Linked DNA regions of Lonchura striata. The protein of the gene in region 2 interacts with the protein of the main gene of each other region in a biochemical or structural test. Links are inferred from orthologs where the notes say so. Each region holds a gene or a part of one and is shown on either strand. Other genes may lie near its edges.

What was found.
Region 1: the proteins of PTPRB (region 2) and CNTN1 form a complex in vitro, tested with the Homo sapiens proteins (2 studies listed by BioGRID). The link is inferred for Lonchura striata from reciprocal best matches to the Homo sapiens genes PTPRB and CNTN1.

The regions. Positions count from the first base shown.
Region 1 is NC_134607.1:38,101,928-38,113,956, reverse strand, and holds the start of CNTN1 (contactin-1), read right to left. Parts: upstream 5,836-12,029; 5' UTR 5,718-5,835; intron 1-5,717. UniProt on the Homo sapiens protein: Contactins mediate cell surface interactions during nervous system development.
Region 2 is NC_134607.1:45,025,161-45,037,079, forward strand, and holds the start of PTPRB (receptor-type tyrosine-protein phosphatase beta), read right to left. Parts: upstream 5,579-11,919; 5' UTR 4,950-5,578; coding exon 4,895-4,949; intron 3,618-4,894; coding exon 3,228-3,617; intron 1-3,227. Other genes in the region: PTPRR (receptor-type tyrosine-protein phosphatase R), read right to left, coding at 6,807-6,900, 11,909-11,919. UniProt on the Homo sapiens protein: Plays an important role in blood vessel remodeling and angiogenesis. Not necessary for the initial formation of blood vessels, but is essential for their maintenance and remodeling. Can induce dephosphorylation of TEK/TIE2, CDH5/VE-cadherin and KDR/VEGFR-2.

The DNA.
Region 1 (12,029 bases), about 6.9 Mb from region 2:
GAAAGGTTAATTTGTGGTATTCATAAAATAACGACAGCTTTCAAAAAGTTTCATATTCATCACTGCATCACATATTAATTGAACTATAAGTAGGCCCTAAAAAAGAAAAAAAACCAGTATTTTTACAGTACACAAAAATTTAAAGTTACATGGATTTCTGTCCTGATGGTGGAAAACACAAAATTTCTCATCTCACAGAAGATGATGTGTTAGAACCAGTCACTCTTCTGCTGTCCCGTCCCTGTGGTTAAGACAAGACACCTAGTTATCTCCCCAATCAGTAAGCACCCATCCTTCCCAGAAAGATTAGCACTGTAACTAGGAACAACATTGATACAACATGAACAGCCTGTTCCACTTAGCCGCATCAGTGTTTGTTTTAAATATTTACATTCAGATTTTGAGTATGAGATTTGTATGAAAAATATCATTTTCATAAAGAACAATTGTATTAATAGACCCGATTCGTTTTTCCTATGAATTTAAAGATGAAGAACTACAACTTGCTAACATAAGTGTTAATTGACAAAGCTACTGAATCCTATTATAATCTCCCTGAAAACAGACCTATAATGAAACACCAAGCCTAACTAATCTACAGCAAATCTAGTAGTGCATTTAAATACAATTACCAATAAAAACTATAAAGGGAATTCAGTCTGTAGCATTATTTTGTTCACACATTGAGTATTTTGTCTTTTGGCACAACTTTCCTTTCCCTTGCAAAAAGTACTGTTCAGACTGTATTTTGACTTTCTCCCACCACTCCCTGAGAATTACAGAATAACCTCATAGGATATTTCATGCTGTAAGAGAAGTCAGAATAAGGGATGTCACAGGATAATTCATATTGTAAGGGATATCAGGAGGTTTACAGCCCAACCTCCTGCTGTAAGCTAAGACATTTGGTCAGGTTACTGGGGGCTTTATTTTTTCAGTCTTGAAAGATTTCAAGGAGAGAAAGTGCACAACTTCTCTAAGTAACCAGTTCCAATGCTTGACTGAACATATAAACATCCCTCTTTGATTTTTACAAACAAATTTAATTTAGCACCTGGTAAGCTGAAGTGCATTACTTATATTTTATGGAAAAGAAAACCAATTTCATGTGACTCTAATGCAGCAGTAAATTCAAGTCCATGTCTAACAACTCGACTACTGGCTTAACTAGGAATGACTAATAGTAACACTTCTGTTCAGCTCTTGATGAACTGGAGAAAATTTAACTGTCTATAGTAAAATAGGATGTTTCCAATAAAGCTATAAAAAGATCACTTATCTGATGACTAATCCTGATCTCTGTCTCCAAGCTAACTCATTTGCATGGGACCAACATATAATCTATCTGCTATGTGTCAATTATAAAAACATTACATAAATAAAAGCATAGGACTTGTCAAATATGTATCTTTCTATATCTTCATTTTAAAACACTCTATCACATTAATTATTCTGTCTGTAGCACTAACCATAGCTCGATCATCCCATATTTCAGACACAAGAGCTACTAAGTTATTGCAAATATGATTTTACCACATCCAAAATACTACCTTATGTAAACAAAACTACTATGGTGCAGTGGAAACTCCACCAGTTTTATCCAGATCTCAATTCAGTGAGATGTTTACATCATCTTTTTGTAAGTATTTGTCTCAAGAGGTTGTAGAAAATCCTTGAGAAAAAATGAAAGAAATTAGTATGAATACAAACAAAACCAAAATAATCTGCTATTTTATTTGCCAGCACAGAGCCCTTCAAAACTTAGCTGAGTTAAGCAAAAACACAGGATGCTACAGTCAGATTTGCTGATTTCTCTGCATAAATAGGATTACTGAGGTTGCTTGGTATTTCTGTAGTTTACTACTACTTGCAACTTTGTCAAAGTGTCCTGTGTGTCCTTGCTTTCTGCCAATGCATATCAAACACACATGAGCCACATAGAAAAATTTAAGATTTCAATTTTTAAAAAGAAACAATGAAGAAAAGCCAAAAAATTTTTCTTCAAAAAATGTTTGTAGTCACAAACTGCAATGGCTTGAAGCCATCAACATAGACAGGCTTTGAGTTAATGCTATACTCTTTCATTTTCTCTGAAAATATAACAAAGACCAACCAACTTTTAAGAAGAAGTACTGTGTTGTTTCAGTGGAAAAGAACAAAAGCCACCTTACAGTCTCTGAAGAATAAAAATTGAGACCAATGTCTGCTAAAAGCACAGAAAAAATGACTGGAGACTGCTGAAAAGAGACTAGACTGGGCTGACATAGCAAATCAGGATGAGGAGGCTCCAAGGAATAAGGGAAAGGTAATGGAAGGAAACCTGACAGGAAAAAAGCAAGGATACAGGACTGGATGAGATATGAAACCAAAATCTGGAATGGTCAAGACCAGAGATACTTAAAACACTGAGACCAGCTACAAGATGACAAAGGTGCTGTCATTAGGATACATATAAATGATGAAGTGAAAAGGACTGTGCTTGCAGAAGTCTAGCAAAAGAGCCCTCATGCACCACAACACAGTGGTGCCTACAGTGCAAAGGACTTCAGTCTTGCACCACTTTCCCACTACCCAAGCAAATACACTACAAGTTACACTATTCTGTTTTATCACTGCTGTAAATAAAAGGGACTGCACTCTTATAATATCACTCATGATGGTAAAAGTTCAGGAGTTTTTTGCAAAGGATTAAACTTTTCTGATTCTTTTTGTAACCACTGTAGGTCCAATACAGTAAAAAAATAAGAAATTTACTTAAAAAATTGAAATTTTTCATCTTTTTCTTGATTTGTTGTTTGTAGGCTTCTTTGTTTTGTGTTTTTTTTAATTCCCTATAATTTAATTTTCTAGGTTTTAAGAACATTTATGGGACATGTATGCATATTTTACTTCACAAACAATACAAAAGAACATTATTATGGTTACTAAATCAAGCACTCAAAAGGTGTAAAATGACAAATTGTTGTCTGTGCAACCATAATTAACTTCCCTTGAGTTTGTTTGGTTTTTTACAATATACTTAAATAGGCATGTGCTTCTTATTCAAAGTTACCTTGCCACTGAAGATGATACAGAACTTAAAGCAGGTAGGATCTCTTGTTTTATCTACTGAAGAACTGAGCTTGCAGAAAGAAAAAGGGACAGGGGCTGTATAATATGCCACAAAGACTTTAATGGCTAACATTCTCTCGATCATAGTTTTACTCGTTTCCCTTACTGTCACCCAGCAAACCATTTAACCTAAAACTTCCATAGTTTGTAATTAACTGTAAATTCCTCTTTTTCCCCATTTACTGTGCAGATACACTCACAGAAGTGGAGCAGTCAGGACTGTTACAAAAAGCAGTAGCAGGTATAACTTCAGGAAACATATTTAAAATAATTATAGAAATTTCAAACTGGACACCAAAAATGAGTGAATACTTTTCACCTAACCCTCTTTGTGCTTTTCTTCACCATCTGTAGAAGTGTCCTCTCACCTTAGGTAGTGTTTGATAAACTACTAGTACTTTGTAGGGCATTCTGATCACATACTGATAAGCCCTTTAGCAAAGATCACACAGATGTTATCAGTTCTGTCTTCAAAGCAGAGCTGAGTAACACTGAATAAATAAATCATGGGCTCACACAATGATCAATGAAAAATACTGAATTCTCTTAAGTGAGCTCCACCTATCCCATGCAGTGAAAGACAGGATTCCAGTGGAAAAAAAAATAGTATGTGATCATGTAATTAAGACTGTATAAGAAGTACATGCTCAAAAGGCACTTTAAAACCTCTTTTCCATAACCTTAATAACAAGGGATTTCTCTACAAAAGGTGTTTAAGACAGACACTCAATTTAAAATTCTATAAATTCAAGTAGGTTCTTGCTTTACCATGAAGTTGTGTTGAGGTTGCATTACTTTTTAGCACCACTTAAAAGTGAAACTGGAAATCTCTTGCTGGTTTAGAACAGCATTGTGGATAGTACAAATATAGACCAGGACAGAAGTGTTTTACCTAGGCTATTTTTACTTTTTGCAAAATTTAGAGATAGTAAAGATCTATTTTTTTATAATGTTAACTATTGCTAAAGACAAAAACTAAGCAACTGATAGCATATAACATACATTTGAATGCAAACGACCAAACAAAAGATTAATACTACCAACAGTTTTCAGAAACATTAAGGTGAGTTCTTATTAAAGAAATTTTGGTGCATCATCATTTATAGAAGAACATGGACCAAAGATCATCCTTTCACAGAGATCTTTACAGTATTTGCACTACAAGGACATTCAGAAGTAACTAATCATAGATTAAAAAAAACTGCGAATTTTTATAACTTCAAGTTATTTCAGAAAGCTTCCCCTGTTTTACGTAATTTCAAGGCCTGTGCTCATGACTTTTAGTGGTTTACAAGTAATACTATATAAAAGAGTGAAACTAAGTAATATATTTGTTAGTAACTTCTTTGATACAGCTACCGCTGCACAGGTGGCTGAATTTTAAAGGCGTATTTTTCCCTAAATTGTGCAGCCTAATAATTACATAATGGCTTATTTTTTAAACGTTAACAAACCCTTTTTAATGTGCTTTAACATAACTGTATTATAATACTGTTATGTAACTATGACTATGCTAGAATGTAACACTCGAAAACATTCCCAGCTCAGAGGTCACACTTTACTTTCATTACTAAATGGAGCATAGTTGATTAATTTCATAGATAATCTCCCGTAGATTTCATAAACAGAATTAAACAGCGCTTCATAGAGCAGCTGCAATTCCGAAAGAGCCGAGGTGCAGCTCGGGCGCGGCACCCCGGGGCAGGCTCAGCCCTTCCAGGTGCCTTTAGCGGAGCCCAGCAATGGCATCTCTGCCCTCGCCAGCAGGTTACTGCAGCCGCTCCGAATTACTGACATTTACGGAAACGCCGCACTGAAAAAAAGGCATTATTAGCATTTTACAAGGAGACAACAAAGTGAAACGCTATCATTTTTACTGCAAGAAGGTGCACTGAAAAGAGGAAAAAAAAAAAAAGCCAAACCAAAAACCAACACCCTTTTCAGGCCGACACCACTAAACACACCCAACACGCAGATAAATCGGCGTACGGCGCAAGGCTGCGGCTGCTCCGGCACACAGACCGTGGTGCTGAAATGATGCGCTGGAAGACCACGGCAGGGACGCGTTTTCACACGCGCTGCCAAAATCCATACGTGTGCCGTAGGAAACGGAGGGGAAACCGCGCACGAGGCTTTCCCTGCGGCAGCATCCCGCTCCCTCGCCAGCCAGCATCCCCCCCCGAGCCCACGACCGGCGGGGACAGCACTCGCCGGGGATTACCCGGGGCGGGCGGCCCGCTTTCGGCAGCCCGGGGTGCCGAGTAATCCCCTGCCCAGCGGGCAGGCGCCCCGGGAGAGGGCGGCTTCCCCGTGCCCGCCCCGCTTCCCGGGCCGGGAAAGGGCCGCCGCCCCCGGCCGCCGCAAAGCAGCGCTCCCACGCGGGGCCGTGGCGGGCTCTGGGCTGCCCCGCCGCCCCGCACCTGCCCCAGCTCCCCGCGTTCCCCGGGCCGCACCGCCGGAGTAGCGACCCCCGCCGCTGAGGGGACCCTCCCGGGCGGTCCCCGTCCCTAGGACCGCGCGGTGCCGGGGGCCGCGCGCCGCTGCGTCCGTGCCGCTCGAACGCGGGACCGCGCTGCGCTGCGGGGGCCGAGCGAGCCCTGCCCTACCTGCCGCACGGCCGGGCTGTCACCCCGCGCCGTCCGCACCTCCGCCGCGCACCGGGCACGTCTGGGCCGGCGCTGCCCGGCCGGCGCGGCTGGCTCGGCTCGGCTCGGCGCGTCCTTGCCCGGCTCGGCAGCGCTGACAGCCGCCCGCGCGCCCCCGCCCCGGCCGCGCGCGGGGCCGCCGGGGCCGAGCGGGGCCGAGCGGGGCGCGGGAGCGGCGGCGGCTGATTGGACGGGGGTGATGTCACTCGTGCGCGCGCGAGCGGGCGGGAGCGCGCGCGAGCGGGGCGGTGAGGCGGAGCGGGCGCGAGCGGGAGCGGGTGCTCGTGAGCCCCGTCCCCGGGGCGCGGGCGGAGAGCGCGGTGGAACCGCGCGGCGACAGCGGCGCGAGGGGTGCCCCGCGGCCGGGGCGCGCCCCGGCCGGCAGCCGGGATGAGAGGGACCCCTGCAGAGCGGGAGGCGCGGAGGTGATCGGGGCCGGGGGCGAAGGGGGCTCGGCATCCCTCCGTCCGCGCCCGTCCCGCGGGCCGTGACACGTGCCTGCAGGTGGAACGGCTGCCCGCGCTGTCCAGGCAGCCTGCGCGGCACCGGCTGCTGCGCTCGCAGAGACACACGGACTCACAGACACCCAGACACAGGCGCCGACTGATGCAGGCACAGCCGCGCGGGCACAGGCGTGCACGCTGCACATGCCCAAAGGGCGGTGAAGCCCGAGTTAAGCTGCTGCCCCTACCCCCGAGCGTGGCTCTCAACCGCCAGCATCCACGGACCCCGTCAAAGAGGCGGGATAGACCGCAAGGGTGCAGCTGGGCAGGAGTCGTGATGCTCGGAGCCCCCGAGGGATGTGCTCGTCAAGGCCAGCTTCAAACTTTCAATCCATACCCCCCTCACAAACTAGGAGAATGATTTTGAAATGACACGATTTGTCTTCAGCCTCAATTTATTTTCTGAACTTTTCATCTTCTATGTAGGAACGTATTTCTTAATTCTTTTTCATTACCACAAAGACTAGCTGTTTATTTTTGAAGCATCTATTTGTCCCTTGAGCCCAAGTCTTATGGTGTTTTCCACATTATAAGTTGCAGAAATCAAAACTCCCAGAGGGAAAAAAAAGGATAAATCTGGGGCTTGCTGCATACCCCCTTGTAGAAAGCAAACAGGTCCAGAAAAGTGGAGACACGATAGTGGATAGAAGATTCATGAGCTGCCAAATTTGTGAAGACTGCTGCAGGAAGGGCTCATGAGGGACAGAAGATGGAACCTAAATATTTTGAGACACGAGTTCACCCTGTATATGAAATGCAATTTTTGATGGCAGCAGGAGCTGCAACCATGACACTTTATATTTACAGAGAGTGACAGATCAGACAGTTACTAGCAGGCACAGCAGAAATAACACATGACTAGGTTGCACTACCTGCATGACAGTAACGACCAGAGAGTGAAAAACTTCAGCAAGTCCAAGACCCTGAGACTCCTTGATTCTTCATGATCAATCCTTATGGAGTAACACCAAAGCAACATGCATTTCCCCCTATTGAAAAATCAGGTTTCTGCAGTTCCTTTATTCCCCCAACACGTGAAGTAAGGAGGGGAGGACTGCTTCACTTACAGCTGTCATCTTGGGTAGTTCTCACATGTCTGAGAGGATTTGAACTCTAAAACGCAAGAGAGCACTGACTTTGCAGCTTTACTGTTTGCTGATTGCACCAAATACGGTTATGTCAATTTCAGTGAGCTCATCCTCTCACAACTGTATGGATCAGAAGCTTGCTCAAGAATAAAAAAGATGGTTCATAAAAACCCCAACCCAATAGATTTTCATTTAATCATTCCAGAATTGGAGGTTTAGATATGGGTCTTTAATTCCTGTGTCTTAATCCAATACTGACAATTGTGTGTATACACAAACATTCAGAAGAGGAGAAGAGCTGGCACTGTTGGTGTGCTCTCTAAGAAACAGGGACAGAGATAATATGCAAGAAAATTGGGTGGTAGGAAAACTGCAGGAAAAAAATGGGAACTAAAGACTGGACAGTGTATTAAGCTAAACAGGATAGATTATGCATATTGGCACAGTATATAGTCATGAAACAGAAGGCATTTGAAGTATTAGTGAGCTTTGAATCTCTGGCACAGACCTCACACAAACGTCAGTTTTTAGACCTTAACTGCTTTCTTGTGGTGAGGACTATAAAATAGTTTCAGCCCTTGCTAGGATTTAGAGCAGCCTTACAACTGCTCTGAATAGCGTTGGTTGTTCATTGCCTCAGGCTGCATTTGCTGCTAGAAGCTGTAAAACACAAAGCTCTAGGACGAGTTGGTGAAGAAGTGCTGTGGCCTGTCCCCTCTGATGTACAGCACGGGCTGCTATATATCTGCCACTGTGCATTTAACACTTGCAGTACTCTCTGAAGGATGATCCTCCCTAATATTCAGTAATTTCAGTTAATGATTTCATTGCCAGAAGTTAAGATGGCTGTCTCACACATTTTGAAGCAGGGTATTTTTTTACTTAAATATACCAGTGGGTGTCTCTGCACTGCACAGAACGTCTCTGTCTCTCCCTTTGCTTGATTCAAATGTCCTTTGCCAGAGTCAGGGAGTCAGTAAAGCAAAACAGGAACAGAAGACATGCTAAAAGCAGAAACAGAGTGCTTTCATCACGCTGTGCATTTATAATCATCAGCTGCTCGTTATTCTGTAACACTTTCCCTACAATCAATGTATATTTTAGTTCATATACATACCTACATCCCTGGGTACTTGATTCCAGTGAGGAATTTGCTCCCTAGAAAGAGTCAAAAGTCATTTGGATCCAAACATAAGGATGAAATAGACATAGCTTCAGCCTGCAGCACTTATGGAGGGACAGCAACCACTGACCTCACTTAATATTTTTACAACACTCCTAGCATCCACCATGGGAGGAAGAGGGAGGGGGAAGGGAAAATGAAACAGGGACAACAGCTTTCTCTTATTGTAATAAAATGGAGACAGAGGCCAGCATAAGCTTTATATACCCCTACCCAGTCCCAGCAATCTTTCAGAGGATTAATGAGATTAGAAGCCTCTATTCTTTTGCTAATGGCTGTTTATTTGAAAAATTACTTTTCTTGTAAACATACAGGAATGGCCATATGTTACTCCATACTCCAGTGCTGCCTTGGGATACTACTAAAAAAAAAAAAAAAGAGAATGAATATCATGTTCCAACTGCAAATTTTACAAAAAACAATTAATTTGCTCTTCAACTCTTTGTCTATGGAGTCTTACCTGGTTGAGGGCAATGTATTAAAATAGATTAAGACTATTCCTTTGAAGAATCTTGCTGTAGCTTATGCTGCTGAAAGAAGGCTAACAATCCACTTTAAAATCCATGGTTATTTGAATTCCACATGTATATTTGAAGAGATAATTTGAACTCTGGCTATACCCAAGCCTGTCATCCATGAAATTGACACATGCAAGTTCCTTTTCATTGCTTCCAAATGTTGCAAAATATTTCCCATGATATTAAATATTTTCACATGAAAGGAAGTTTTAGAGTCAGACTTAACTGAGCTGAACACTATTTTTGTTGAATTCAAAGCTTTTCAGAGTGAATGAAACATATCAGGAAGGTAATTTTAATTATAGAGCTTAAAATAGAACATACGGCAAAGACTTAAGGTTGAAATTAGATTCTGTATCATATGAGTTTATTCTCAATACCTTGAAGTTTAATCATTGAGGCTATTATTTCCTATGCCTGATCTCTTTCATGAATCAAATGTGTCTGGAAAATGATTCAGACATTTTCGAGGATGCTAAAGGATAAAATTCAATACTTGAAATGGGAAACAACTTTTTTAGCCATTCTTGTAATGGGAATACTGTCCCTATATCCCTTCTCAGAAGAGATTAAGAACTTGAGGTCTGGCAAAAAAAAAAAAGTAGCTTAGAGCTCAGACAGGTTTTTCTGTACAAACAAAAACATTAATATCTGACAAAGAACTGGAGCAGGAGAGAAATTAAGAGGATGACATCGTGATAATATATTTACAATCTGTTGATCACTGACTGGTACCATATGCTCTGAATACCGGTCCAACTTTGGTCATTAGGTTGCTGTTGTAAGATGCACTGGAGTTTGTTTAAGAAGCAGTCACCTGTGTCATGGGTTGGGTGAATATAAAATTAGATTTTCCTCTCAGCAGGCAGATCTGTCAATCTACCCACAAATGAAAATATTAGCTTTTGCTTTAAATACTTTTCTTTATGAGCTATTACCAGGATACCACAGCACAGGCAACTCATGCGCAACTTCAGAGAAGCAGAAATTGCTCAGATTCTCTGCAGAGTCAAAAGTACAATCTCTCACCAGTCCAGTCCATATTCCATGGATGCATATAGCAAGATGCATAGACACAGGCTTCTCACTGCAAAGCAAAGGACAAAACCAAACCAAACATTTTTACAAAGTAGATTTTGTGGCCCTGTATCAGCCATTTCTCACACATGATGTTGATTCTATTGATTACTGTTGATGCCCATAGTTGTGCACTTAACCCAGGTGATAGACCATCATCTCATGAGCATAAAATTCTGCACTTTACTGACCGTTTCATATACAGGGGAGATATTTCAGTTTTATATGTGAATATTTGCATAAATATTATGGAAAAAGAGTACTAGTACTTATTGCTGTTACAAGTCTTTAAGAGGTATTGTGTTACCATCATTTTCTCAACCTAATCTTTTTTCTCACCCTAATCTTATGCATTAGAATTTTGCAAGGGCTTTGGTGGTTTTCTTCTAAGAATTCATGTCTCATTCACTATAAAAAGTGAATATATGTAATACAGCATCTCTGTAATACTTCTTTGTGTCTGAAACAATCAACTGATTCAGGAATAATTTGCAGCTAAGTGGTGCTAAGTTAGAATTCCTCTTCTTTTTTCATTGTGACCATGAGTGCATTTCCTGATGTTCTCCAAGGTTCCCATCTTCAAAACCTTTCTTCCAAAAATACAGGTATGACAAGATTTTAGTATCTTCATTTCAGTATATGCATTTAAGATACAAAATGACATAGGGAAATTACTAAATAAATTGCAAATATCTCAGAGGCTAGATGCCCTGTTTTTTTCAGAAATGCTAAACATTTTCCATATTATTTATAGGCAAGGGAGAAGGTAGATAAGATTACCTAAAGTCAGGCCTGAAACTGGCACTTCAAGCTGGTTGAATGGAGAATAAAGAGCACATCTACTGTTGTTGAAAATAAAAATGACTGACGTGGCTTGCACAGTTACACATGGACTGTGAGAGATATGAAGCTTAGTATCTGTCTTGATAACTTCTTTTAAGCACTTTCTGCTATTGAAATCATGCTGCAGTGTAAGGTTTTCAAAAGAAAATACACCTATTTCAAAGAAAGTCACTTCATTCAAAATTCAGTAACAATACAAACATAACATCTTTACTTTGGACTCGATTTTTTGTGTTCTTTCAGCATCATTTAGTGTGGGTTATATATAATGCATATTTCTATGTCACTTTTTATTTGCTTTTTAAAATAAAATATTCATCAGCCATACAAAAATAAAGAAATAATTTACTTCAAAGAAAAGGAATTTCTTTACAGCAGGGTTCAGAATATCTGTAGAGGCTACAGCATGCTCCAGTTTTCTGAACAGTATTAAACAATTCTTTGATGATATTTTAAGAAGCTCTTCTAGAAGGAGAATTTCTGATGGAAAACTTAGTCAAAGGAGGTGCCTGTGTATTATATACTTAGCACTAATACCAGATGCTTTCCCCTAAGGTGTGGCAGATGCCTTGGACTTCTAGTACAATTGTATTTGCACTAGCCTGCTAGTCATTGCTTATTAGCAATGTGGGATTTAACCTCCTTTTCCTAAATCTTATCTGAAATCTGCCTGACAGGACAAGATACAGAAGCCAATACAGCCCTGCCTGATTGTGGGAGGAAACAGGAGAAAGATTAGTGCTAAAAATTGTATGTCCACTGTTATCTCTGCTGTTAGTTACCATCAAGGTTAGTAGCGGGTGGCTTCTTTGTCACTGCCATTGTCTTCAGCTGGGGCATATCGGCATGTCTGTGTCAAGGCTGGAATGCTGCAGTGCTTGGAAAACTATTCTGAGAAGATCTTGCTGTTCAAGTGTCTAAAATAACCAATATATTAGCTCAGCAATAAAGACACAGCCAAGCTTACTGCTTGCTGACACATTTGCCCGTTGATCACCAGTACAGGAGATAAGGTGTATCAAAATGATGTATTGGAACAGCATCAAAATTTATCACCAAAG
Region 2 (11,919 bases):
GAACTTAGCTGAAGTTCTGATTATGAAGCAGCTAAACTGAAAGGGGGATAAGGGGAAAAGAGAAGCTTATGTGACAGAAATGACCCCAGACAAGAACCAAGGCTAGGAAGGAACAGCATAAACGTCAGATGGCACATCAGACTTCAGCTCATACCTGGTATCTGGTATTTTGTCTATTTCAGGCTGGAAACAAACAAGAGATAGAAAGATGTTCTAGTTGTTATTCAAATTCCTTGTTCAACATGTTTTGTATCTTTGTAGATCCCACTATGGTTCTTCAGTGCTTGGTACACAACTGTAAGTACACCCTCCATAAAATCAGCTACTCTTTTTGAATGTCTTGGTATCCATGGATCTGGCTTGTCCCTACCATGTATGATATGATATAAGAGAAATGCAATGAAGAACATCATATTACAAAACAGGTAGTGTCACCTGCTGTATCCAGACTGCTCTACAGCCTGTGTGACAGTCTCTAGAGCTCAGTGCATAGCTGCAGCATACAGCTTGGCCTTGTGTCTACTCATTTGAAGTAATTCCCTACTTAGTGAATTAATCTTTGCCCAGCAGTGGTTTTGAGGTTTGCTGGTAATATTCAAGGTGCCACATAGCATTGCATCTGTTCTTAGTTGGATATTTTATTGAAATTAACCTACCCAGAACAAAAGCTTGTAAGAATTGCTTATGCACTTTAGGAGTGACATCAGTGTTAGTCTGTCAGCATTAATGGTGGGTATTTGTTCCACAAGTGTTATTTACATGCAACATTCTTTGTTCTTTTCAGTCATCCTGACTCTATCTCTTCACCTGCCCCATCTTTTCCTCTTGCCTGTTTCTATTCCTGGTTTCTGAGCTTAGAAGCTCTGAACCCAACAGTGGGCTGGTGAAAAGCAGGCTTTAGCATTACAGAGATTTTTCTCTCTCTGCCCAGAATGTCTTCATGAATTTGGTGGGAAATGAAGTCTCACTTTCTCTGTTGCTTTATGACCATTCTTCATTTTAGCTGTTTCAATTAGAGAGTGATTCAAACTTGATTTTGTGTGAGAAGGACTGTTTCCTGCTAGATTTGGAATTACCTCTGAGTGAGCAGAGATGGGCTACATTCCCAAATTGATCCTGGTTTCCACAAACAGTCATTTAGATCAGGACTGTTACAAAACATGTAAATCCAAACACATCTCAGATGGCTGATTTGAAATCCAAATCCAAGCTCAGACTTTCCCCAGGCTCAGAAAAATAATGTTTGATATTTGAGTAAGGTCCAGAATAAAAGGTACTTGCAGCTATTGGTTTTGGAGCTTGTACTCTATCTGGGTGATGTTTGAGATGCAATTCAGTAAGCTAGTCCTATGCCAAAATAAAACTCTTTTTATGAGTACTGTGAAAATAGAGGGTAAATTATAACAAAATGTGGTCTTAGTCAGGAGTAGAAAAACTCCAAAGATTTTGTTCATTTTTTTCTATACTAGATAAATATAGACCAAATATGTTATTTTAGGCAGATCCACTTCTGCTTGTATTGAAAGCAGATAGATGTTCTTGGAAGACTAACGTTACACATTTAGCATTGAAGATTTTGACATGCATATGGATGCTATGATCAGAATTGGGGGTATTAGATATTGCTCTCATAGTACTTACTACTATTTGAAAAATTAATCTCTTTGCACTGCTTCCACTTTATATTCCTATATTCCTAAAATTCTTAGTTAGGTATTGAGGATTATAGTGTTTTGTTGATTTTTCAGCAGAACTTCCCAGACCTGTCAAAAATAAGGCAAGTAACACTCTTAGAAAGGATTTGCAGGCCTGAATATGGAGAGAATTTCAGGAAAATCAAGGTAAATTAATTTAAGAACTGAGAACAGTAAACAGATGAGAAGGTGCTTTAATATGCCATGACAATTGTCTTAGTGCTTATTGGTCTTAAATTGCTTCTTCTCTTAGGATGATTAAGAAAAGTGTGTAAGGTTACTTTAACTTGGTTAGGCCACACTCCATCCAGCACACTACCTGTGCACCTCATCTGAACTGTTCCTAGTGTCTTTGAATATGCAAGCCATACACACCCCCAGGGACTTAAAATGATTTTGCCTGTTTAATTTCTAACATATATGGGAGGGCTGGGATGGCATCATGGACACTTTTTCATTTCCCGATTCTGCAAGCTATCCTTTCATACATCCACTCAGATGAGTAGTCCTGGTCCTATGAATAGAGTTCTTCAAGTGCAAATTTGCTGAAAAAAATTATACTCTGCCTTACAATAACTAGGAGTTCAGAAAGGATGAGGATTTGGTTTAAACATTCTTAAAACTTGAACATATGCAACAGTTTTAAGTCACAAAACTGATTTTTAACCCTGTAAAGACAAGAATTGACAGTAAAAAGATGCCTGTAGGTTGTTCTTATTTACTATGAAGAATTACTTAGTAGTGCACAAGAACAGTATTAACAAGTTTGCCAGGAAGGATTGACAATGGGACATTGAAGAAAGCATTATCAAGCAATATTCAAACCACTGTACCTTCCATTTTGCCATGGATATAGTAACCCACAACTACACAGATATACTGCTACATGTCTGTAGATATGTGCACAGACCTTTGCATTTCAAGGTACTATTCCAAGAATTTCTGAGACTTTTTGTTCAACTCATTAATCTCAAGATTTTGAGTGTTCTCATATATATGGCATCTAAGATCAAAATTACACTGAATAAACATGCAAATGTGCTAGCCATGACTGTTCGAATTATGCATTTAGGTTAATCAGAGAAATAATTGTGCATGTGTTGGATTTTCAGATGTCTTCTTGCCCTTGACAGATTGAATCTGGATTTGTATGATAAAATGAATGGGGAGGAGAACTTCTTTGCATCCACATTTTTGAAAAGTACTAGGAATCAGCACCCATAGTTTAGAAATGGAAAAAGGAAATGACACAATGTTAGTGACCTGAGGTTACATATATAAGCACATTGATCCAAAGATTGGGAGTAGACAAAAGGAGAGACATCCTAAAAATATAAAGTGGATTAAAAACAACAGTTGTGAGAAAGACAGCACTAGTCTCAGCTGTTCTTTAATAGTTCTCAAAATGTTTTTCAACTGTGAAAAACATTCTTCTGTATGAATAAAATATCATAATTTTTCACATTTGAGTTAGCATAACAGACATTTTTGTTACCAAAACTCCCAGGATATTTTCTTGAAGGAAAAACTCACCTTGCTTTGAGCACAGATTTACATAAACAGGTTTTCCTGTCTCGCTGGCTTTTAGCTGCATCCACGTATGAAGGTATTTTTTACTCCGCTTGGCCATTACCTTCTGACCTTGTTTTGTGAGGAAAAGGGAGCTGTTGGCCACCTTCAGGAGCCCATCCTCGTGGCAATTCCACCTGACTGCCTGGGGACAATCAATGATGACACTGCGAGATGACAGAGCAGGGCGTGTAGAGATGCTCAGGCACTGGGCAGACTTCACATGGAGGAGCCTGTCATCTGCCATCCACTGCCACTTCTGATTCAGGCTGGTCATATTGCACTTTTCCATAATGACTCCTCTCTTTTCTGAAAGACACTGCTGTTTCTGGACATGGATAATCAGAAACCCTTCTGGAAAAAGAAAATTCCAGAAAAATATGATTGATTTACACTTTTACTTGACAAAAAGCAAATTCTCAATGATTTAAAATAACTGAGCAAATAAATCTTTCTTCCCATTTTCTGTGTGTTGAACATTTAATGAAATTTCCCATAAGTTGAACCTATTTTAAAAAACCTTCCAAACACAACACTTATGTGATGCATGTGCTGGTAATGTAAATAAGAAAAATGCAAAACCCCAAGCTATTGTGGCAAGGTTCTCTTGACATGCATTATATATAAAAATAAGAAAAAATTAAACTGGATATAAAAGAAGTCCAAGAATTATTAACTTCAAACATCAGTTCCTCATTTCCCCTGCTGGAAAGCAAACAGATCTACATGCATTCTCAGTCTCTGTTTCAGTTTTACAACACAGACTTTTAAAAATATAATTTCCTGCCTAAAAGTTGTTTTAGTAAAGTTCATAATGTTTCTAAGGGAAACATATAGGAGGATATTCACAGATCTATGTGTCTCTCAATGTCTGTGTTACAGGAATGGGGGTTCTTTACTGATAGGAAGCACATCTGTTTTACTGGATTTATTCCAATGTCTCTATAGCTGTTAGCTTTGTGACGATTCCAATTCACGTAAGATTAGCTCTCTGTGTCACCACACTTAAAGATCAACACCAGCTACTCAAATGAAGAAAATTACAGAGCATTAATCAAAACCCCACAAAGCTACCAATGCAAAACACATACTTGTAACAGAATGCAGAATTGGTTATTTCAAATGCAGCCTCCTTGCCATATTGTGTTTAGGTTGTTCGTTGTTTTTAGTCGCAGTTACTCAGACATTTCCAGCCCCATTAGTTACAAAGTGCTAAACCAAATGTGCATTTATTTCCCTCAATTGATGTTGTCATTCCCCTGTTTTTACAGACCTGGTAATTTTCTAGCTAAGCATTACAGAAAGTTCTTGTATCTGAAATTTAATGAAGTATGAATAAAAGATAGGAATCTCCTGTCTGAAGCATTTATCCCAAAAACTCAGCTCCTGGATTGTCTATCAGGAGATCTTAAAAAAAGAAGATGTATCTCCAGCATAGAAGAAGACAGTTTATTTTCCTTTGGAAAGGAATCTAAACAGAATGGGCTGTGTTGGCCCTGCCCCTCATTCCTCTGGTACGAAGCCCAGAGTAGAGGTGACTTGGTTTCTGTAAGTCACTGGCTGTGCCGGAGGGCTCTGCTCAGTGGCAGAAAGAGCAATTTGGCAGAGGGGAAGTGGGGAGAGACACTTACCTGAGAATGCCAAGGCAAGACAGGTAGAAACCAGGACGTGAAATAAAGAATCCATTTTCCCTCTAACAACTCCCCATGCTTCTCTTAAAAAAACCCACCTCAGATAAGTGAAGCGAAGGCTAGGAAGGAAATGTGCCTTCACGGGGGAAAAAGTCAGTGACGAGCACTTCCTTCTATTCAATTGTTTAGGGGGGTTTTACAGTACTTTGTCCTTTTAATATGATTCTTCACTTTACTAGTTGGTTTATTTTGGAAAAATACAAGCAAAAGAGAAGTTTTCAAACACCTGGGAAATTAAAAGAGATTTTGTTGAATTTCTTTAGACTAAAAGAAAGGGGATCATACTTTTGTGTTATTTGTTGCATGTGAACTATTACAAATCTACAGGTGCTGACTAAGTATATTCTATATTATTCAGGAAAAAACATGTATTTTTTGTAACTCTACACAATCAAGCAAAATCTCAGTATATTTCTAACTCCACAAGTTCTAAAAGCCAAGTGGAGGGTGGGGAGGAAGGGAAAGAGGAGGAGGCAAAGCTCTGCCATCTGTAGCAAGTCTTACAGAAACTCCCCCTGAGGAATCAAGTGATGCTGGGTTTGCCTTCCCATCAGGTGGTACACCTTGCTCCATGTCAGCTGGGGATTGCCTGTGCCCTCTGGATTGGTTCCCAAGTGGTCAGAAGCCATGGTGCAGGCTGACCAAATTGTGCTGGGCTGAGCCTGTTTATAGGGGTACAAGAGTGTATGTGCATTAATTACTCTAGGCAAGAACAGACACTTCAGTTAATATTTTATATTTAGGGTTGTTTATTAGCAGTATGAAGCGAAGTCAACATCACTGCATTAAAAATCATTACACCCTGTAAACAGATCTCCCAGTGCTGTAAGCCATAATGCCAACTTCGTGTATCTCTTAAAAACAAACTTTTACTGAGCAATAAAGGAAACAGTCATAGCAGCATTTTCTTTCTTGTATAACCTGTCATGGAAGAGTCCATATCACTAAAGGTATCTATCTCTTACTGAAAGAAATAGACCAGATAAACAACATATGCAAAAATTTCTGTATTAACAAAAGACAGACAAATATTTAAAATCCTTACCATTTAATATATGCTACAAAGTTTCTTTTAAAAGTAGAATGACTTACACAATTTACAAATACACTGGATTCAGGTCTGTAGCAGAAGCGTGTTCTAAGACAATCAACAGTTTAGGGTAAATACATATACACTGAATAACAGACATTGTGCTCTGCAACTGCTCTGTAAGACCTACAGTAAGTACACATTTAATAGTTAATAGGATGAAGAACATATATTTCCATATAAAATATTAACTGCTTTTGAATATTTTCAAAAGCAAGATTAAAAAAAAAATTATTATCTCCTTTTTTAAATCCATAGTTGAACACTTGCAATTTTAGCAGCAAGAATATTATGTGGCCAAGGAACAAGCTCACCACATAATCAGTAATAGCACTTTACAGTACAGTTGACAGTCCATTCACAAGACAGTTTGCAAAACGTCAAAGCTTTTATACACTTGTTAAATATTTCTTCTGTAGAAGTCCCAATGTCCATCTGACTGTAGCAGGAGCACATACATACATTCCATATGGCAGATATCAGCATTACAGAATTAAACCCACCTTTAGATACATAGACAAAATCCATGTGTAGTTTCAGTACAGTACCTTCTTTATAAATCATTTTTGGGAAGCTCACAATACATTCATACATAGTAAGGGTCCAGCAATCTCTGTACTTTTGCCAAACCGTCCACAATCTTTTCAGAAGCTGGCCTCAAAGCCGTCTTTCCTACTGCAGTAAACGCCTTGAAGAAGCTGCTGGTAGGTAATGAAATAAATTACCTCAAGAGACTGATATTTGGTTTTACCCTCCTCAGCTTCACTGGACAGCTTCTGCAGAAAGTCTTCTTTCATACAGACTCAGTGCATGGTGCACAAATTCATACTGCTCGCTGGTCTGAACCATTCCACCCCTGGAAAGGAAAAAAACTGCACTGAAATCTTATTTCTTAAGACTGCAATACCCTCTAGCTCCTGCCAGCCCCATGACCACCAGATGACACAAGCCCTTTCTTAGTTTTTGACTTACAGTTTGCTTGAGTAAGTGGAAGATATTTGTCAGAGAAGAATTACATTCCTTATAACTTATGCCATACAGCACATGCCCCACATGAAAAATTCCCAGTTCCATCAGAGTAAGAATTAGAGAAGAAAGCATCTGGCATCTACAGTGTTAAAACCTACATTTCAAATTCAGTATGTTAAAAGAGAATTTTGCTCAATCACATGGGCATGGAAGGCCAGAGACATGGATGCAGCATTACCACTGATGGAGCAAGGAAGTATACAGAATCTGGCCTTTCATTTCTGTCCTTTACTAAAAATGTAACCTTCTGTGACCTGCAGATGGCCTGTGCAGAGAACAGCTCTTCCTGTCCTCTTTCTAACGCCTACAATGCATCCTGTCTGAACAGCCACCACCTACAAAATTTTACAGTGGTGAATCATTTCACCACCAACAATGCAAAAGAGTTTAACCTAACCATACAAAGAACTAGTTGCAGCCAGCTTGGATGAAATGCTTACTTTTTATACATTCACCTGATAACAATCAATTTTTCAGGTCTAAGTATGAGGATCAAGTCTCACATCTCCAGTACCAGTTACAGTGTGGAAGGAAGGGGATGTCTTACAGGAGGCAGATGTGATAGGAGTGTTATCATTAAGCTCTGAAATTAAACTGAGTCTTTCTGTCAATACTGAGGTACTTGAGGTCTCCCTTCTCATGAAGCAAGGCCTCAAGTTTACTTAATTCCACTCCTGTTATCTCATCTGCCAGGGTATTCAAAGCTATCTACTCTGCTTCTAGAAACAAGCCCTTAGTTCATCCTCAGTGTACCATGGAGCAGCCAGCAGCTAGCTAGCATCCCTTTGGGATGATGAAAGACTAAATGGCTTTAGTGAGAATGAAGACATTAAGATACATATCACATCTAGCTTCAGTTAGATCTTAATTGAAACATTTAAATTTGCAAGGTATTTGGATCCAGAGCACTGTTGGAGCCAGATATCTTGCAGGAGCAGGTCTGAAAATCTCATGAGATCCCTAACAACAAATATAGTACTGATATACTAAGCTATTTGAAAAATGGTAAGTAAAACTTCCTCAACAAGCATTGTCCTTCAGAATTAGAGAAGGTCATCTACAACCACAAGGCCCTTTAATTTTCTTCAGTGCTTCTGGATGGCTAAATGGCTATGGCAGGAAAATAATAATTAAAATAGTATCTACTTCTTTAAGCAAGTGACAGTGGTCTGCGTTCCTCCATTGAGCTCATGCAAATATAGAACATCTTCTGGTGAGCCTATTTTGCTATTCCTAGGAATAAAGTCACAGGTCCTTAAATGGTCCCACCCAACCCAAAATGAAACACTCATAGCTTTGCCAACAAAGGCATCCACAAATTTACAACTCTTGGCTGCCTTTTGCCTTCAGCTGCTTTCCTCTGTGCTTGTCCCCTGCCTGGAGATGAAGCGAGATATTAAAGGTGATGGGAGGGCTTTGCTCTAGTCTTCTGTGCTGCCTAGTCTCCTTCCTTCCTCCTTGCTGCTGCATCCTGCTCTGCCCACGCAGCTCCTTCGCAAACAGCTTCCCTCCCTGCCTTCCTCATCAATGTTCCCCCAAGATGTTCTCTAAGGGAGTGCACTTCCCAGGTTAGATGTGCTGTGTAGAAGGGTGGGGGAAGGGAACATATCCAGGGAGAAGAACTTTCTACAAAGGGCAGGTTAAAACAATTCTGGCTGCACTAGGCTGTTTGTGATGGTGATCAGTGCTGAAGCAACACACAAAACCCCAGGAAAGTGTGTGTAAGACTATGGGGGCTGAACCCAGCATCATGGCATCTGACCTGTGTTAGCAATTCAGAGGTTATGATGCTTCTGAACCTTGTATGGACTAACAGTCCATATGTCTGTCAGCTTAAGGGCATATGAGTCTTATTCAGTGGTTTTGACAACTTAGCCTTGTCAGTGCCATTATACATGGGATTTACTGAGCCATAGTACCACAAAATGGTTTGGATTGGTAGGGATCTTAAAGACCACCTAGTACCAAACCCCTGCCATGGACAGGGATACCTTCCCTTAAGATGAGGTTGTTCAGAACCCCATCCAACCTGGCTTTAAATACTTCTAGGGATAGGAAGGTAAAGAATTTCTTCCTAATATCTAATCTCTATTTACTCTTTCTAAGTTTAAAGTCATTATCTCTTGTCCTATCATTGCAGACCCTGGTAGAAAGGCTTTCTCTGTCTTTCCCATAAGCCTCTTTCATACTGAAAGGCAGCAAAAACATATCCCCAGATCCTTTTTCAGGATGAACAGTCTCACCTCTCAGACTTTCTTCATAGGAGAGGTGTTCTGTCCCTCTAACCATTTTCATGTCCCTTCTCTGGATCCACTGTAGCAGGCCCATGCCTTTTTTGTCCTGGGGAGCCCAGAGCTGGATGCAGCTCTCCAGGCAGGGTTTCACCAGAGCAAAGCAGAGGGGCACAGTCCCCTCCATGGACCTGCTGGCCACACGGCTTTAGATGCAGTCCAAGGTACACTTGGCTTTCTGGGCTGTAAGTGTACACTGCCAGCTCATGCCCAATTTTTCATTTACCTATCCCAAGTCCTTCTTAACTTCATTCTTATGCAAGGCTCACATTTCATAGCAGGGAATTATCTGTGATCCCAAGACATTGGTTTGTGGAAATGTTTGTGTGGAAGAGCATTTCAGGAGGAAATTTGCTCAAGGAGGGAGGTTTCCTCTCCTGTGTCCCTAGTGCCTAGAAGGGATGTAGCCACAGCTACAGCACCTGTGAATGTGCAGCCTTTGTCTATTTGCTAGTCCTCACTGCCAGCTACTCTGTGAGCTACTGGGCTCTCTGCTTCTTTGAGACTCTTTGGGCTAGTGCTTGGAAGAAACAGAACCTGGTATCCTGAGGGCTCAGGGACTGTGACCATCTTTGCTTGGGTAGCAGTGAGTGTATAAAAGGTCCTTTACCCTGCCCTCTGGCTTGCTGCTAGTGCAGCTGCATGCAGTCTGCTCCAGAATGAATGTGATGCAGGGTTTGGGATTATTTTTTTTTAACCTGAGGCCATTAGTCAAAACACTTAAACAATGAATTGACGCACACTGGAAACTCTTTTCATCCTGTCTGAGGAGCCAAGAGCAAAGTTATCGGATGTCATTCCAAGAATGTGCCTTTAAGGTTAAGAATGTGCAAAGTTTCTCGATGTCACAGTAAGTCTTGAAGATGCCTCACATCAAATATTTCCTGTTTCTGTTGCAAAATATAAAAAATGAACTGGGAATGAAAGCAAGCTGAGTAGACCTGTGAGTCTGTCTTTTTACAAACTCATGCAGACCATGGCTGTATTTACATCCTGGACCGATATTTTGAGTAGATAGCCAGATTTCCATTCTCTTTCCAAATTTATCTAGGATACTAATATGTAAAAGAAAGTTCATTAGGCAGATCCTCTCAACAAAATTGTGTTGTCAGTCAATAATGCTGAAAATCTGGATTGTTTTTTGTGTCTGAAATAGGGATATTAAAAGAGGCAGCTAAGACCAGAGTTTGCTTTAAAAGCAATGATAAAAAGATTCTTTCATAATAGAAATACTAAAATGGGGAAGAACTCTTCATACCTTTCTCAATAAGACAGCTATTCAGAAAAGAGGTTTGGAAATTTGTAGTTGGTAATTTAAAACAGAGTAAGCATTTTTCCCTCAGCTATTCCTTCTTATTTTTTTGCTGAGATTTTTAGGTCAATAACTCCCCTTGGAGAATTTTACACTCCAAGTGGCTCATGTTGCCCTGTAAAGATCATATTACAATGTTGAGTATGATGCAGTCATACGGGAGGGGAAGGCAGGGGAGATGACCCATAAACACAGTCAACTGTATGGATTCTGGTCTTTCTGTACTTCACAGTTCCAGTACCTTTCAGAGCTCTTCACAACACAAAAAATTCTGTATTAAACCTAAGATCCTTTTCAGCATTTGCACCCTATGTATTTTTTTTTTCATTTAAAGAAGACATGCATGTCAGAAGCAGTTAGGATACTTGCAATGAGAATAAACAATTTATGACCTGTACCTACAGCAGGAGAGGAGATTCCTCTATTCTTGGTGCAATCCTGTCTATTTGCTTTGTACAAAATCCTGTTTTTCCAAGCAGAATAAGAAAGAAAAGTACAACCCAACCAACAGTTTCCATTGTGCACAATACCCACATCCTCCTGTAAAACACAAATCCCTCTTCAGCCATGGTTTCACAAAACAAAGCACTCTGCAACAATATTGGCTTACACTGTTCCTGCTCCCAAGCTGTGAATTCAGTCAGGGAATTGATCTGACTTCAGAAAAGTCTGGAACAAATCCCTTGGTATTTTCTTAGGCTGGGTAAATTTGCCAACTCAATTCAAACGGACCCCCAGCACAGCTGAGGAAATAGCAACAGCACCAGATTTGTCTTTCTCCAGTGCTCAAAGAAGCTACACATTCAGTGAGCCTGAATTTCTTTGTCAACCCAGGCTCAAAGAAAATCCCTTGTCTCCAGATTGCCTCACCTCTCTTGTGTCCCAATGGGATGATGCAGACAGCAAACAGAAAATTTTAGTGGAGGAAAATATACGTTGCAAGTGCCCAGCAACTACATGGTTGTCATTTCAGGGGAATTTCATTCAATGGAAGTTTCACCCAGAAAACAATATGATTCCTTATTCAGGACCTAAATACATATGTTACCTTGATTATTCAGTTAATGTGATCATAAAAGTCATCACAAGCAATGGCAGCCATTTAATGTAAAGTAACATTCAACTGTGGAAATGTTTTCAGAATCATTACAGAATCATTTCTGATCATTACCAAATCATTTTGGTAATGATTTCAGAATCATTGACTGATTTGTTGTTCTTTTGGAACTCACCGATCCACTCG